2 linked regions of the Styela clava genome follow. The main gene of each other region encodes a partner of the protein of the gene in region 2 in a complex. Links are inferred from orthologs where the notes say so. Each region holds a gene or a part of one and is shown on either strand. Other genes may lie near its edges. The genes, in order: integrator complex subunit 11-like and integrator complex subunit 4-like.

What was found.
Region 1: the proteins of integrator complex subunit 4-like (region 2) and integrator complex subunit 11-like are in contact, whole or in part, in a cryo-EM structure (PDB 7SN8), measured with the Drosophila melanogaster proteins. The link is inferred for Styela clava from reciprocal best matches to the Drosophila melanogaster genes IntS4 and IntS11. Residues at the interface, in NP_572488.1 of Drosophila melanogaster: Arg226, Ser227, Gly228, Gln233, Lys256, Phe259, Tyr260, Asp262, Ser263, Gln264, Lys299, Asp300, Asp301, Cys349, Leu351, Lys380, Lys381, Ile437, Glu441, Glu443, Phe444, Leu445, Glu446, Arg448, Asp471, Phe472, Asp475, Asn478, Glu480, Ile481; in NP_651721.1 of Drosophila melanogaster: Thr182, Pro183, Arg185, Gly188, Ala189, Trp191, Ile192, Asp193, Lys194, Arg196, Ile210, Arg211, Asp212, Ser213, Lys214, Arg215, Arg258, Asn287, Gln288, Lys289, Lys292, Thr293, Met299, Gln400, Asn404, Asn469, Ala470, Pro472, Pro473, Pro475.

What each region holds. Positions count from the first base shown.
Region 1 is NC_135252.1:16,275,229-16,282,918, forward strand, and holds integrator complex subunit 11-like, read right to left. Parts: upstream 2,875-7,690; 5' UTR 2,793-2,874; coding exon 918-2,792; 3' UTR 563-917; downstream 1-562. UniProt on the Drosophila melanogaster protein: RNA endonuclease component of the integrator complex, a multiprotein complex that terminates RNA polymerase II (Pol II) transcription in the promoter-proximal region of genes.
Region 2 is NC_135259.1:15,385,405-15,392,573, forward strand, and holds the start of integrator complex subunit 4-like, read left to right. Parts: upstream 1-4,033; 5' UTR 4,034-4,112; coding exon 4,113-4,221; intron 4,222-4,456; coding exon 4,457-7,080; intron 7,081-7,169. UniProt on the Drosophila melanogaster protein: Component of the integrator complex, a multiprotein complex that terminates RNA polymerase II (Pol II) transcription in the promoter-proximal region of genes.

The sequences.
Region 1 (7,690 bases), on a different chromosome or scaffold from region 2:
ATTTTGCCTCGTATATGAGTGAAACGTGAGAGGATTGGATAGAAAACTTTCATTGTTTCGAGACATTTTGCTTTGTATATAATAGGTACCGTATAAGTTTATTTCGACTGCGTAATCAGCATAACAGACGATAAAATAGTAGATAAAACAAATAAATAATGCGGGTATCGCTGCAAACATTTGACTTATTTAGTATTATCGCAATGCAATTGCGGACACATTATGATCATCTATTCTTAAGAGTGTTACTTGCGCGTAACAGAAGCTGATGAGCATGAAAATAGGCCAAAGGATTTATGCATCGAAAAAGGTCGAGAACCGCTGCCTATTTTATCTCGGAGATCAGTGATTCTTTGTTTAGCATAAAAAGATTTTCCAGTACTTGGACATTTTCGGCGCATGAGATAGAACCAAAATAAAGTGACATAAAACTTGGTACCGGTACTGATATTATTAAATCACAGGATATCCAATCAGTTCTTTAATATGCTCCCAACCAACTCCAAGCTTGCCCCAGAAAGTTTTAAAGGATGAACACTTGAAAGATTTGACAACCCATTATTGTGTTTATTATATTGATAAAAAAGAAAGTAACAAATGCACGGAATATGCACAAAGCAGTGTGTACACAAGATGTAGCAGGGTTAATAGAGTAAGCTTTCTAAACCTATAAAACAATTGTGCTCAACAGATTCTGCATTATGGCGCAACTGCCTCATTCAAGTTTAGCTTTGACTAGAGTACTAGCCAGATGTATGTGTAAACTGTAAATACTTCTTGAGATGCACAAAACTGGTGAAATAATGGACCTGATTTTAAGAAAAACTCGGATTATGCAAGTTCTCTAGTATTTGAAATTATATCAATATGGCCATATGATTTTGGTCTTGATTTAGTGAAAAGATTGAACAAGTACGTCAGTGAACAGGAAGTTTTGTCACTGATTTTGGCAAACCATTTTTCAAAACCTCCATTAAATAACTTCCCAAATCCTCATCTTGATATGGCCATGAAACCAATATTGATTTACTTGCTGGACTGTCATCTTCATGGGTATTAAAATCATCCGACACATCCATAGCTGTTTCTGAATCTTTTTGAACTTTAAGTAAAACTGATTCAATCAATATATGTCCATCTGATGTGGTATTAACAGAATGTGACCTCAACAACTGCTTTAAATGTTCATATAATCGAGTCATTGTTAGTTTTTCAGAACGGCAAGCATTTTGTAATTCCACTGTTGATGTGAATCGTAAATCATGTTTTGGCAGTCCAAGTTCTTGTAATGCTTCATCTTGTTCTAAAAGTCTTATTTTATTGTCTTTCATTAGCAACGCTCCATGTATAATTTTAGAACATTTTGGGTTCGGAGTTGCAGTATCAACAATTTCAGTTTTGTGTTTGAGGAGTTTTAAAGACATGTCAACTGGTACACATGGCTTTGATGAGATGACACAGGTCTCCCCATTTGCTGGATTAAAGCACTCCAATCCTAATTCATGATTTATTTTTGCTTTTAAAAATTCCATTTTCTTTGCTTCACCATGAACCAACAACACATGCTCTGGTTCACACATACGAGTTAGCTGCATTATCCCTTTAGCATCAGCGTGTGCACTAAACGACATATATTGTACCTGCATTTTGATTTCAACCACCTTACCAGGTTGCAACTCGATTTTCCTCATACCAGAAAGGATTTTGTGGCCTACAGTACCTGCAACACAATAACCAGGCATTATGATGGTATTTTTGTCACTAGTACACCATTTTTTAAAAATTTCAAGAGACAATCCACTATGGAGCATTCCCGGGGTTGCAAAAACAACCATGGGACCTGGATTTTCAATGAGTGTTCTGTTGAATGGCTTGATATGTTTGAAATCGAACAAGTTTCTATCCACAAAAGTACTTTTTATCTTTTGATTTGTCCAAGTTATGAAAAGCTTGTAATAATTTGTTGCTTTTTCAGTTAAACCTGTTGAAAAATATATTGGAACTCTCAAATTCATGCGATCCCAGTATGACTCTAGTAAAATACAAAGTTCTTGTGCTCTTCCAAGAGCAAAAACAGGGATCAATACTTTTCCACCCTTATCAATTGTTTCATGCACTTTCTTCAGAAAATCCCTTTCTCGACATCGTTTCGAATCTCGTATAGTTGTTGCATACGTTGATTCAGTAATAAGCAGGGTTGGCCGGCATTTATCTACCCATGCTGCTCCAAGATGCCTATCAGGGGTCATATTATAATCTCCTGTGTATAAAACAGATTCAGTTCCAGCACGAATGTAGAACATTCCTGCTCCTAATACATGCCCTGCATAATACGCCTTAATCTGGAGTTCTTCGTCAACATATATGGTTTGATGCAGATTTGCCGTAACTACCTTTTTCATACAATCTTTGATCATTTGTGAGGTGAAAAAATTAACTTCACCTTTTTTATCAACAGTTATTTTTCTGTAGTCTTCCAAAAGGATTGGAGCTATTGCTTTTGTAGGATGGGTCATGTAGATTGGTCCATCATAGCCAACCATTTCAGACATGTATGGTAATGCACCACAGTGGTCCAAATGAAAATGGCTTATAATAACGCAGTCAATATACTCGGTTAATCGTCCCTTTCCACCAGTGACATATGAAAAGTCAGGAAACCTTCGATCATCGTTAAATCCCATGTGCATTCCACAATCTAACATCACATTTTTTCCACCAAGGGATATCAATATGCAACTGCGGCCAACATCCTGGCCTGCACCAAGGGGTACAACTTTTATGTCAGGCATTACTGCGTTACCAATTCAGCAATTATCAAAAGGCATATCTAAATGTATTAAACCATAGGATAGCTGCCAAATTTAAAACGTTGATATGTTAGGTCTGTAGGTGCTATAACTAACTGTACAAGTCTGCAAGTGGACTTGATGGCTTCCTCCACCATCAAGGTTGTGGTTTGCCATATGATTGAGGCATATTATGGGCTCACAGAAATACAAACTTTTTTCAAGTTGTTAAATTAATAAGTTCAGAAGTTAGCACTTCCATACAACTAGACTACGAAATTAAAATACAAAAATGAAAAAAACTATTGAAGTGATAAGTATAAGTATGGGTTTATTTCGACTCCATAATCAGCAAAACAATAAAATGAGTGCTAAAAATAAATAAATAAAAACTGATTATGAAATCAGGAGAGCGAACAACACCTTAGATAAGGTTTAAAACGTACAGAATGTATATAAGATGGAAGGTTTTGCCAAGAAGATGTGGTACGTGTTCACTCACCTAAAATAATTGAAATATTTCACACACGCTTACACGCAACCATATAGAAGTTATTAAGTAAAGGGAACATGAAAAATTACATACTGGTAGTTAATAAAAAATAAATAAATAAAAATTACTTGCCACACCATATTAATAAATTTATCATGATTGCCACTGCCAAATTGATCAATTTTATAAATGGGAGTGAACAGTAAAGATAAACTTTTATAAAAAAATATATTGTCAAGCTGATTATAGATGGAGTCAAATGCCAAAATGCCCAACCAAAGTTGCCAGAATTGGGTGCATGAAGAGGTGGGCTAGACCACTTCATTGCCCAAACTAGAGCCTATTATTGCCAAAAATAATTTTGAAAATGAAATTTTTTTAACTGAATGGGTTGGGGAACTGGGACTAATTTTTGGATGGCGTATTCAGGTGGGGGTTAGGATTGATACGAAAAAAAAAATTCGTATGCTACGCCCTCTAGAAGTACGTTAGGCACGAAACTACATTAGACTCCGACCGAACTTGGCCTACCAATATGATGTGAATTGGATTCACCCGTTCCTTCAATGGATGTCTGTTCGACCTTTGACACCCAAATTTTAGTAGATTTTGGCAAATTTTTGGTATACCTTTTCTCGAGATGGCGCTTGCAAACTTAGAATACTATTCACATATTTATCCTGCGGGAGAGAAAAACCGATTAAACGGCCTAATCATATGATCCTCGACGGCCTCCACGGGTACTAGTCCAGGGTATGAAATTAGTTAGTTTAGCGGTTCCCAACATTTTGTTCATGCAACGCCAAATTATCAGGGAAAACCTGAGAAAAAAATTGCTACTTTCAAATAAAATTCAATTTTGTGATCATCGTTGTGTATTTTATGTCTTTTAAAGTTTGTAAACATGTAGTCCATGTATGACTTCAGCAGCATTCAAAATCCCAATATATGCTTTGGAAAAAATCTTCGATAAGTTCTTTACACTTCACTCTTAGTCTTTTTCTTACAAAGAGAGAGAGATTTATTGTTTCGTCAACCAGAAAACAAGCATTGGTACAACAAAATATGCAAGTTAATTCGGTATGGACTGGTGGAAGCGATGCGCACTTAGGGTCATCAGAGTCAGCTCCCCCAAAATTCACCATTAAGATTCACAGTTAAAAGCGGTTAAAGCGTAGTAGTATATATTCACGGTTAAATCAAACGCTAGTATACCCTAGCCCAGCGTTTCCCAAACTGTGTTCCGCGGAACACTAGTGTTCCGCGACGCGAGGGTCTTCCGAGTGTTCCGCGACGCGAGGGTCTTCCGAGTGTTCCGCGGAAAAGCGATACAAATTACGACTAAATTGGTCGCCATAGCGATCACAGGATCCTGAAGAAGCCGTTCAATATCGCGTCACCGCCGGCCTGAAGCGGACTAACGTTTTAAGGGGAGAGCCATTTTCGTGAACCGTCGGCCTAGCTTTTTGATTGTCAAGTTCATTATCAAATTTACAGCAATCTTTTTGGTTTTGCTATAGGTAAACATGTAAGCTTAAAGAATAAAGGCAAAAGGGTCAAATGTTCCTTCTCCCTCTCTGCCTGGTTTTACTTTGAAATGCTCATATTAAACAAGATAGCTATGCTCAAATATATGGACACGTAGCGCCACCCAATGGCAATAACTTTGATGACGTCATAGCAAAAAAAAAAGTAATAGCCTTCTGGAGAAAAATTTTATCTTCAACCACTGAAAATTTCAAAGCAATTGGTCCAGTATTCGAAGAGAAAAGCGACTTTTTAAAAACGTGTCAAAGAACAACATCAACATAATATTGAAACGATCGTTATGTCCACTACGTGTCCAATAACTGATTTATTGATTAATATATTTTTAAAATAGGAAAAAATAAACATTTATGGTAAATGCTATGTTAAATATTCAATCATACTGTATTAATGTTTAATACAATTCTGTTAGTTTTCGCGGCGCATTTAGCAACACTAGTTCTCCTGGCGCAACCTTTGGGAACCGCTGCCTTACACCATTTTTCTTTATCAATTTTACACTTTCATTTTTCGGTGTTCCGCGAGACGAGATGAAAAGTGTGAGTGTTCCGTGGCCGAAAAAGTTTGGGAAACGCTGCCCTAGCCTACCATACGGTGCTAATTTTGGAAGTTTTATAAATTTGCGAAAGTAGTGGGTTAATAATATGGTCAACGTATCAGTCAAAAGCGAACAAAAACGACCACAAAACATTAGCCAAGATGTCTTATCGGAATCGCTCCCCCATTTACCTGTATTTGGCCTTATTTTATTGCCTTAAGTATTTTGCGTAGCGATCTCAATATCATTGCATGGCCTGGTTCCGTAGTTCCAGAGCCGTGCATATAAATATAACTAAAGAGCGCTCCATAAGTGCGTGTACCAATATGGAGGTAACTAATATTGTTCGCCTACTCTATAGACTTTATAGACTATAGGTTATTGCATTTTTATTATATAAGGCAAAAACAATTGTTTCCACTTATATCTATTGTATAATCGCCTAAACCAGGGGTTCTCAAACTTTTGGTGTTGCGGAGCCCCTGAAAAGGTTGACTATTATTCGCGGAGCCCCAAAAGAAATGTTAAAATTGTAGCTTTCCGATAAATATTCCTGAGTAAGTTAAAAGTACTTAACTTAAATTAAATGCTAAACCTTTTTAATGGGGTTAATGCAAGTCATAAATAAATCGAAATTTCAAAGATAAATTATATATACTCTTACTAAAGCTGTAAATTTGACACTTGACAAACATATTAATAAACTAGGGGTCGAATCTTTTCCCTTTTGACATTTTCGGAAGACTTAAAAAGGCCCGTAATAACGTGCGCGATTGCATTTTGTTACAATCACCGATAGTTTTTGTCAGCATGGCATGTTTTTAAACATCTTTACGCCGGTGTTTATTCTCCCTAAATCAAAAATTTTCTTCGCCATATACATGTATTTTTCCACAATGACGACGATAATTGCTTTTTTGTTCTCGTGGGGAATTATGAGTTCAATGTGAAAAACGCTTTTATAGGCATTGTAAATCACAAAATTTGGTGTAATGTTAGGTTTTCTTTTGGGTATTCATCGTATAGTAACTGCGAAATCGAAACACAGTCAATTGTGTGCGCGATTTACCTTTTTTTATTCTGAAACTACCGACGGAGCCGCATGCATTTGAAATAAATTTCAATCGTATTTTGCCCAGATCTTGTGATTTTTTAAACGGCGATATCTTGCTTAATAATAATCTCGAGTGCAAAAGAACAAATCAAGTTTGACAAATTCCAAGATCGCAAAAATACGACTCCAATTTATTTATAGTTGGCAGTTTATCACGTCTTTTATGTTATTTTAGAATAGTATTCTTTCATTTTAGTAATCCTAATAGTAATCTCGAATGAAACTTGAGTAACTATGAGTACAATTGAATTATTACGACAAGACACTTTAAATGCTCGCATCGGCCATGCATTGAATATTTTACGCAACAGAAATCTCGTTATCCGTTTTTTATAATCGCAAAGAATGTTGCGCGCAAATCCCCACCTCTTGAGAATCCTGGCTGCGCTCCAGCTTATAAATAATGTCATTTTTTAATTCCGCCTCTTTGCCATATTTCGAGGCTATATTGTTGTCAAATTTTATCAAAGCTGTTATTGCTTCTTTGAACAGCTACAAAACTAGTCATTATTTTGAAAAGTAATCGAATAGCTCGCGGAGCCCCTGGGTTTCTCTCGCGGAGCCCTGGGGCTCCGTACGGAGCACTTTGAGAACCTATGGCCTAAACAACCAAACTTTTTCAAAAACGAGATCCACATCAGACTATAAATTTCCAACGTGAGTATAATCGTGTTTCAATACCCACAAAAGGTCGCATATAGATCCATATGTAGCGCACTGGGTAGTAAAATAGACGAAAAGCTGGCCAAAACCTGAAACTTTGGAAGCATAAACGCAAAGATGGCGACGATCAAATTGCCCCGCGCTGCGACATCGCAACACCAGAGAGAAGATCGTTCCATGTATTTCCAATTCAGTGGCTCAAGCGCGTATCTTCTGATCCGTTTGACCATATATACGGTTTGACACACGAAAAAATTATTTTTAATACCGTATGTATATAAGTTGATAATACGATACAAATTCAAAGAATTCGGGCGTTGATTCGTGAGAAAGAAAAGTATATATACGCGAATTGTTGAATTCGGGCGGTGAAGCTTGAAAAATAAAAATACACGAGCGTGAACTCGGGCGTTAAACTTGGACGAGTTGAAGTTGAGTTGGTCCTGTCTGATCGTAGAAATCGTTCTGGTCCAGTAACCTATTTTTGTGTCAAAATTTCAGTTAATTGACATACCGCCTGCGCCTGATACTGAAGATTGCTTGCT
Region 2 (7,169 bases):
TCAAACACTTTTTTCTCTTGGTCATACATCAAAACTGTACGTTCATTAAACTTGGAATTAGTGTGCAAATCTTAAAATGCCAAAAAATGATTTGACGCCCTCTAGTGGATCCTTTTCGGAATTTCGAAAAATTATCGTTTTTGAAAGGGCGATTTCTCAAAAACCTCCAATAAAGGCAGCACTACGACACATTCCGAGAAAAGCAGATACCTTATAGATTCGATTTTAATATGTCAGAACAGTAGCAGCACGTTTTGACTTGGCCATATATAATACCAAACATAGCGTATAATTTTTAATTTTATCAACTATGTAGATGTAACATATTTGAAAACGGTTAGGTATTTCAACTTAATTTACTGGATAATTCATCAAACACTTTTTTCTCTTGGTCATACATCAAAACTGTATGTTCATTAAACTTGGAATAAGACGGCGAATCCTAAAATAACAAAAAATGATTTGACGCCCTCTTGTGTTTTTTTTTTTGAAGTTTTGAAAAAATATCGTTTTTAAAAGGGCGATTTCTCAAAAACCGCCAATAAAGGCAGCACTACAACACATTCGGAGAAAAGAAAATACCATATAGATTCCATTTCATTATGTCAGAACAACAGCAGCACGATTTTACTTGGCCATATATAATACCAAATATAACGTGTATTCACAATTTTATAAACAATGTACACGTAACATATTGTAAAAAGATTTTGTATTTTAACTAAATTTACTGGATAATTCATCAAACATCTTTTTTTTTTGAACGTACATCAATAATGAACGTTCATTAAACTTGGAATAGGTTGGAATAATATAAACTAATTTACGAGCTCTAAGTCAATATTTTCATTAAAATATAAAACCACGAATCGGTTACAAGTAATGATGGATCATTTTAGCCTGTCCCTAGTCAATCGCTGTCATTCCAGAACGCACTTTTTCATTGCAATCAAACTTAAGCTCATCGGAAGACACGATAACGATTAAAACACTTCATCCAAACCTATTTTTTTGAAACACGGCGAGAAACTTACAAATAACTTGCGAAATTGCGAAAGAAGGCAATGTTCACAACCATGCTTGAATGTCTATCTAAGAGAACAAGGTGTATCAGCGAATGTAAAAATAAATGCAAAAAAGAAGGGAAATTTACGATATGTTTGGTATTACGTATGGCAGAGTCAATCGTGCAGCTACTGTTCTAGTACAGTGAAATGGAATTCAAAATGTATTTGTTTTTTTCCGAATGTGTCGTAGTGCTGCCTTTATTGGCGGTTTTCGAGAAATCGCCCTTTTAAAAACGATATTTTTTCAAATTATGAAAAGAATCCACAAGGATGCGTAAAATAATTTTTTGTTGTTTTATACTTTCCGCAACTTATTCCAAGTTCAATTAAAGTACAGTATTGATTTAGGACCAGGAGAAAAATATATTCGATTATTTATCGAGTAAATTTAGTTGAAATACCAAACCGTTTTCAAATATGTTACGTCTGCATTGTTTATAAAAGTTTGAATACACGCTATGTTTGGTATTATATATGGCCAAGTCAAAACGTGCTGCTACAGTTCTGACATAATGGAATCAAATCTATAAGGTATATGCTTTTCTCAGAATGTGTCGTAATGCTGCCTTTATTGGCGGTTTTCAAGAATTCGTCACTCCATAAACGGTATGTTTAGGAAATTGAAAAAAATATATAATAGGGCGTAAGACATTTTATGTGGTTTTATACAATTCACAACTTATTCCAAGTTTAATTAACGTGCAGTATTGATGTATGACCAAGAGAAAAAAGTGTTTGATGAATTACCAGTAAATCTAGTTGAAATACCTAACCGTTTTTGAATATGTTACATCTACATGATTGATAAAATTAAAAATTATACGCTATGTTTGGTATTATTTATGGCCAACTCAAAACGTGCTGCTACTGTTCTGACTTTGAAATTTTGAAAATAATCCACAAAAGGACGTAAAATGCTTTTTGGTATTTTATACTTTCCGCAACTTATTCCAAGTTTAATGAACGTATGGTATATATGTATGTCCAAGAGAAAAAGATGTTTGATAAATTATCTAGAAAATTTATTTGAAATACCAAACCGTTTTTGAATAATGTTAAGTCTGCATTGTTTATAAAAGTTTGAATACACGCTATGTTTGGTATTATATATGGCCAAGTCAAAACGTGCTGCTACTGTTTTGACATAATGAAATCAAATCTATAAGGTATTTGCTTTGCTCCGAATGTGTCGTAGTGCTGCCTTTATTGGCGGTTTTTGAGAAATCGTCCTTTTCAAAAACGATAATTTTTCGAAATTCCGAAAAGAATCCACAAGAGGGCGTCAAATCATTTTTTGGCATTTTAAGATTTGCACACTAATTCCAAGTTTAATGAACGTACAGTTTTGTTGTATACCCAAGAGAAGAAAGTATTTGATGAATTTTCCAGTAAATTTAGTTGAAATACCAAACCGTTTTTAAATATGTCACATCTACAATATTTAATAAAATTGAAAGTATACGCTATGTTTGGAATTATATATGGCCAAGTCAAAACGTGCTGCTACTGTTCTGACATATTAAAATCGAATCTATAAGGTATCTGCTTTTCTCCAAATGTGTCGTAATGCTGCCTCTATTGGCGGTTTTCGAGAAATCGCTATTTCAATAACAATAATTTTTTGAAATTTTGAAAATAATCCACAAAAGGACGTAAAATGCTTTTTGGTATTTTATACTTTCCGCAACTTATTCCAAGTTTAATGAACGTACAATATATATGTATGTCCAAGAAAAAAAGATGTTTGATAATTTATCTAGTAAATTTAGTTGAAATACCAAACGTTTTTTGAATATGTTACGTCTGCATTGTTTATAACTTTTTGAATACACGCTATGTTTGGTATTATATATGGCAAAGTCAAAACATGCTGCTACTGTTCTGACATAATGAAATCAAATCTATAAGATATCTGCTTTTCTCCGAATGTGTCGTAGTGCTGCCTTTATTGGCGGTTTTTGAGAAATCGCCCTTTCAAAAACGATATTTTTTTGAAATTCCGAAAAAAATCCACAAGAGGGCGTAAAATCATTTTTTGTTATTTTTAGATTTGCCACTTATTCCAAGTTTATTGAACGTACAGTTGTGATATATGGCCAAGAGAAAAAAGTATTTGATGAATTATCCAGTAAATTTAGTTGAAATACCAAACCGTTTTTAAATATGTTACATCTACATAGTTAATAAAATTGAAAATTATATGCTATGTTTGGTATCATGTATTGCCAAGTTAAAACGTGCTGCTACTGTTCTGACATATTAAAATCGAATCTATAGGGTATATGCTTTTCTTCGAATGTGTCGTAGTGCTGCCTTTAGTGGCGGTTTTTGAGAAATCGCCCTTTCAAAAACGGTAATTTTGTGAAATTTATTAAAGAATCCACAAGAGGGCGTAATTTTTTTTCGGTATTTCAGACTTTCCTCAACTTATTCTAAGTTTAATGAAGTGCATTATTGTTGTGTGACAAAGAGAAAAATATTTTCTTTGATGAACTATCCAGTAAATTTAGTTGAAATACAAAATCAGTTTCAAATTTGTTATATATACATTGTTTTAAAAATTGAAGAATATACGCTATGTTTAGTATTATATATGGTCAAGTCAAAACGTGCTGAGACTGTTCTGACATATTGAAATCGAATCTTTGGGGTTTCTACTTTTCACCAATGGTGTTGCAATGCTGCCTTTATTGGAGGTTTTCATGAAACGACCATGTTACACGACGAAAATTCAGTCATTTTTAAACATCTCTCAAAGAATTATAAAAAAATTTTGTGCACTGTAACAGTCGCTTTAGCTTGTTTACTATATATTAACAATACGAGGAGTGTAATTAATGATTGTTTTGCTTTAATTGCTATTGTGAAACTAATCAAAATATACACTTTCTTTTAAAAATCATTGGGAACATTTATTTTCACGCGTGGGTATTTTCTGCGATTCTGTCAGTCACAATTTCGTGTTTTGCTGCTAGCTTCACAGAGGTGAAAATTTGTGGTAATCGATCTTGTTCGTTCTGAGTACGGATCGAGAGATTTGTACACATGAAAATGGCGGTTCATCTTAAAAAGAGGGCTTGTGAAGAATTCAGCCATGTTATCCAAAGCGACCTTAGCACACCAAAACGGCTACGTCTAATTAAAAAAAGTTCAAGTGAGTGTTAGGTTAAAACACTGAAAACATGTAAAATATTCCCGTATAAAATTGGATTTTTTTGTTCGGATTTTTCATATGTTTTAAATTAATTTACACATGACGGTAAAATAAATTTAATACCGTACTTCATTCCAGTGCTGGCTAATTGAATATCTATATTGATATATCACCTGTTTGTTTCAGTTCATATTGAAAAACAAACTTAACCATTAACTTCGTCATTTGTTTTTAGATTCAACAGAAAAACAGACAATTGTAAAAGTCAAAGATTCTGACAGCTCAAAAGAAAAACTTCAATCCCTTATTCAGTTCTCAAAAAAGCTTCCAATACCTCCTAATCAGGTACGGCAGAATGTTCTCGAGCTACTAAAACTTTTTGCAAATGAGAAAGATTCATCTGTTCGAACAAAGATTGCTTGGTTGATAGGGAATTTGTGTCAAACAGCAAGATTTAATGCTCTGAGCACACTGAAAAGTATTATTTCACTCCTTAAATCTGAAAAATCGAGCCAAGTATTGTCACAACTTTGGTCTGTTCTCACTAATTGCGCTAAAATTCTCCCGAATGAACGAGAACTACATGAAACCCTTGTTGAACTTGCTTGCAAAACATTGCTTAGCAAAAACCATAAAGTTCGAAGCGAGTGTCTTATACTGATCGGTAACCTCGGAAAAATTGAGAAATCGACTGAACCATGTAGGCCTAGTAGTAAAAGCAATAAAGTGAACATACAAACACTTCTTGGAGATTTCTTTGGAGATCAAGAACCAAGAGTACGATGTAGTGCATTACAAGCAATGATATTGCTCCATCAAAGAAGACAAAACTTAGAACTTCATGTGTATAATCAAGCTTGCTCAGCTCTTTCTGATGACTATGAAGCTGTGAGAGTTGCTGCTTTAAAACTTGTCTGGATAATGAGCAACATATACCCAGAAAGTGAGGTATCTGTTTCAATGTCAGATGAAAAACTACGACTTGTAGATGATGCTTTTGTAAAACTGTGTGACATGGTGAATGACAGTTCATATAAAGTCAGAGCGGCTGCTGCTGGACTTCTAGGTTCCATGCACCTAGTTAGTAATTCATTTCTTTTTCAAACTCTGGACAAAAAATTGATGTCGGATTTAAAAAAGAAAAAATCACTAAACGAAAAAGCAAAAGAGGCATATGTGGGTGAATTCTCTTCTGGTGCTAAATGGGCGGATGATGCTCCCAAAGAAGTAGATACGGAAGCTAACCAGCTTATAATTGGAGGAGCTTGTGGTGCCTTTGTTCACAGCCTCGAAGACGAAATGTTAGAAGTACGAACTGCTGCTGTTGATTCTCTTACAGAGCTTGCATGTCATCGTATCAATTCAAAATTTCCTCAAGCAGCTTTGGATTTTCTTGTTGATTGTCTTAATGATGAAATTGAAGCCGTAAGATTGAATGCAGTCAATTCTTTACATAAGATCATGCAGAATGTTGCTCTTCTTGAAGACCAATTGGAAAACGTATTAGCGGGAATGGAAGATTTCTGTGTTGAAATAAGAGAAGGAATACATTTACTGCTAAGTAATTGTACCTTGACATCAAAATTCTGTCTTAATGATACAATTATGAAGTTGCTCAAAAATCTCAATAAATATCCACAGGACCGAATGTCTATCTGGAAAGCTTATAAACACATAGGGAAGCATCATAGCCAATTGGTGTATTTGCTTGTTCCGCATTTACTATCATGCCATCCTTACTTTGATATGCCTGAACCAAAGATGGACGACCCAGGTTATATTGGCGTTCTTATTCTTGTTTTTAATGCAGCGGAATTATGTCCGAAAATGACGCAAATATTCCCAGAGCATGTTGTAAGGCATTATCAGTATCTTCGTGACAGTATACCTGATTTAGTACCGCAAGAAATTAAACTAACAACTTTTGCAAATGGAGATGAATCGTGTATGAATTCCCCACCTCGACGGTCTGAAGGTGCATCAGATCCTGCAGAATTTTTAAACAAAGCACTACAACGTGTTAAAAATCTACAACTTCATGACAGCAGGACACAAAAAAGCCTTCTCACTTGTACCATCAATGATTTGAAACACATTTCTAACATTGCGCCAAAGCTTTCATCGACTGCTACCAGCTCAGCAAATTTTTTGCAAGCACAACTACTTCTGTCAGAAATAGTTGATACCAGGGCGTGGTCTGGATCTGCATTGGCTTGCACTCAACATTTAGAATCCACAAGACCGGCTGCTAGAAAAATTGAGAGACTAACACAAGAACTAGAGCATTTGTTTCTTGGTCTGAGTACGGACGAAATTGCTCTTCTCAGGCAGATGTGCCTGAAAGCACAATCATTGGAGTTCCTAATGGATATGCAGAACCTAATGAATCAAAAAGATGTGTCAACGTCTTCTCTTTCACTGAGATGCCAGAAATTCTTTAACACTATAAAAGATGTTCATCAGTATTTGGAAACGCACAATCATATACCTGATTCATTTTCAAAAACACTTTTCAACGAAGTCTTAAAGTTGGATCCAACGAAAAAATATTCATTAGTTGTCAAGTTGCTTCAACCATTGTTATTACATTACAGTGTATCTAATGTCACTTTCTCCAACAAAGTTCGGGAGTCAAAGGTCGTAGTTCATACTCCTCTTTCTCGGACAGATTCCAGTATATCCTTTTCAGCAGGATTAACTACTGCTCTAGATGTGGATGCTACTTCAACAAATATCCCAAACCCATTGCGTGATGTGAGAATACAGATTAAATATCCAGATTCAACTGTTCAAATGGTTCTGTTAAAACCACAGGATATCAAACAAATATCTGCAATGGAGCATCGAATAATTACTAAGGTGAATTCTTTGACTAATTACTATTTACAGCATGCTAATTGTATTTAATATTCAAGGGGTGAGTAGGGACAGAATACCACATAATTCAT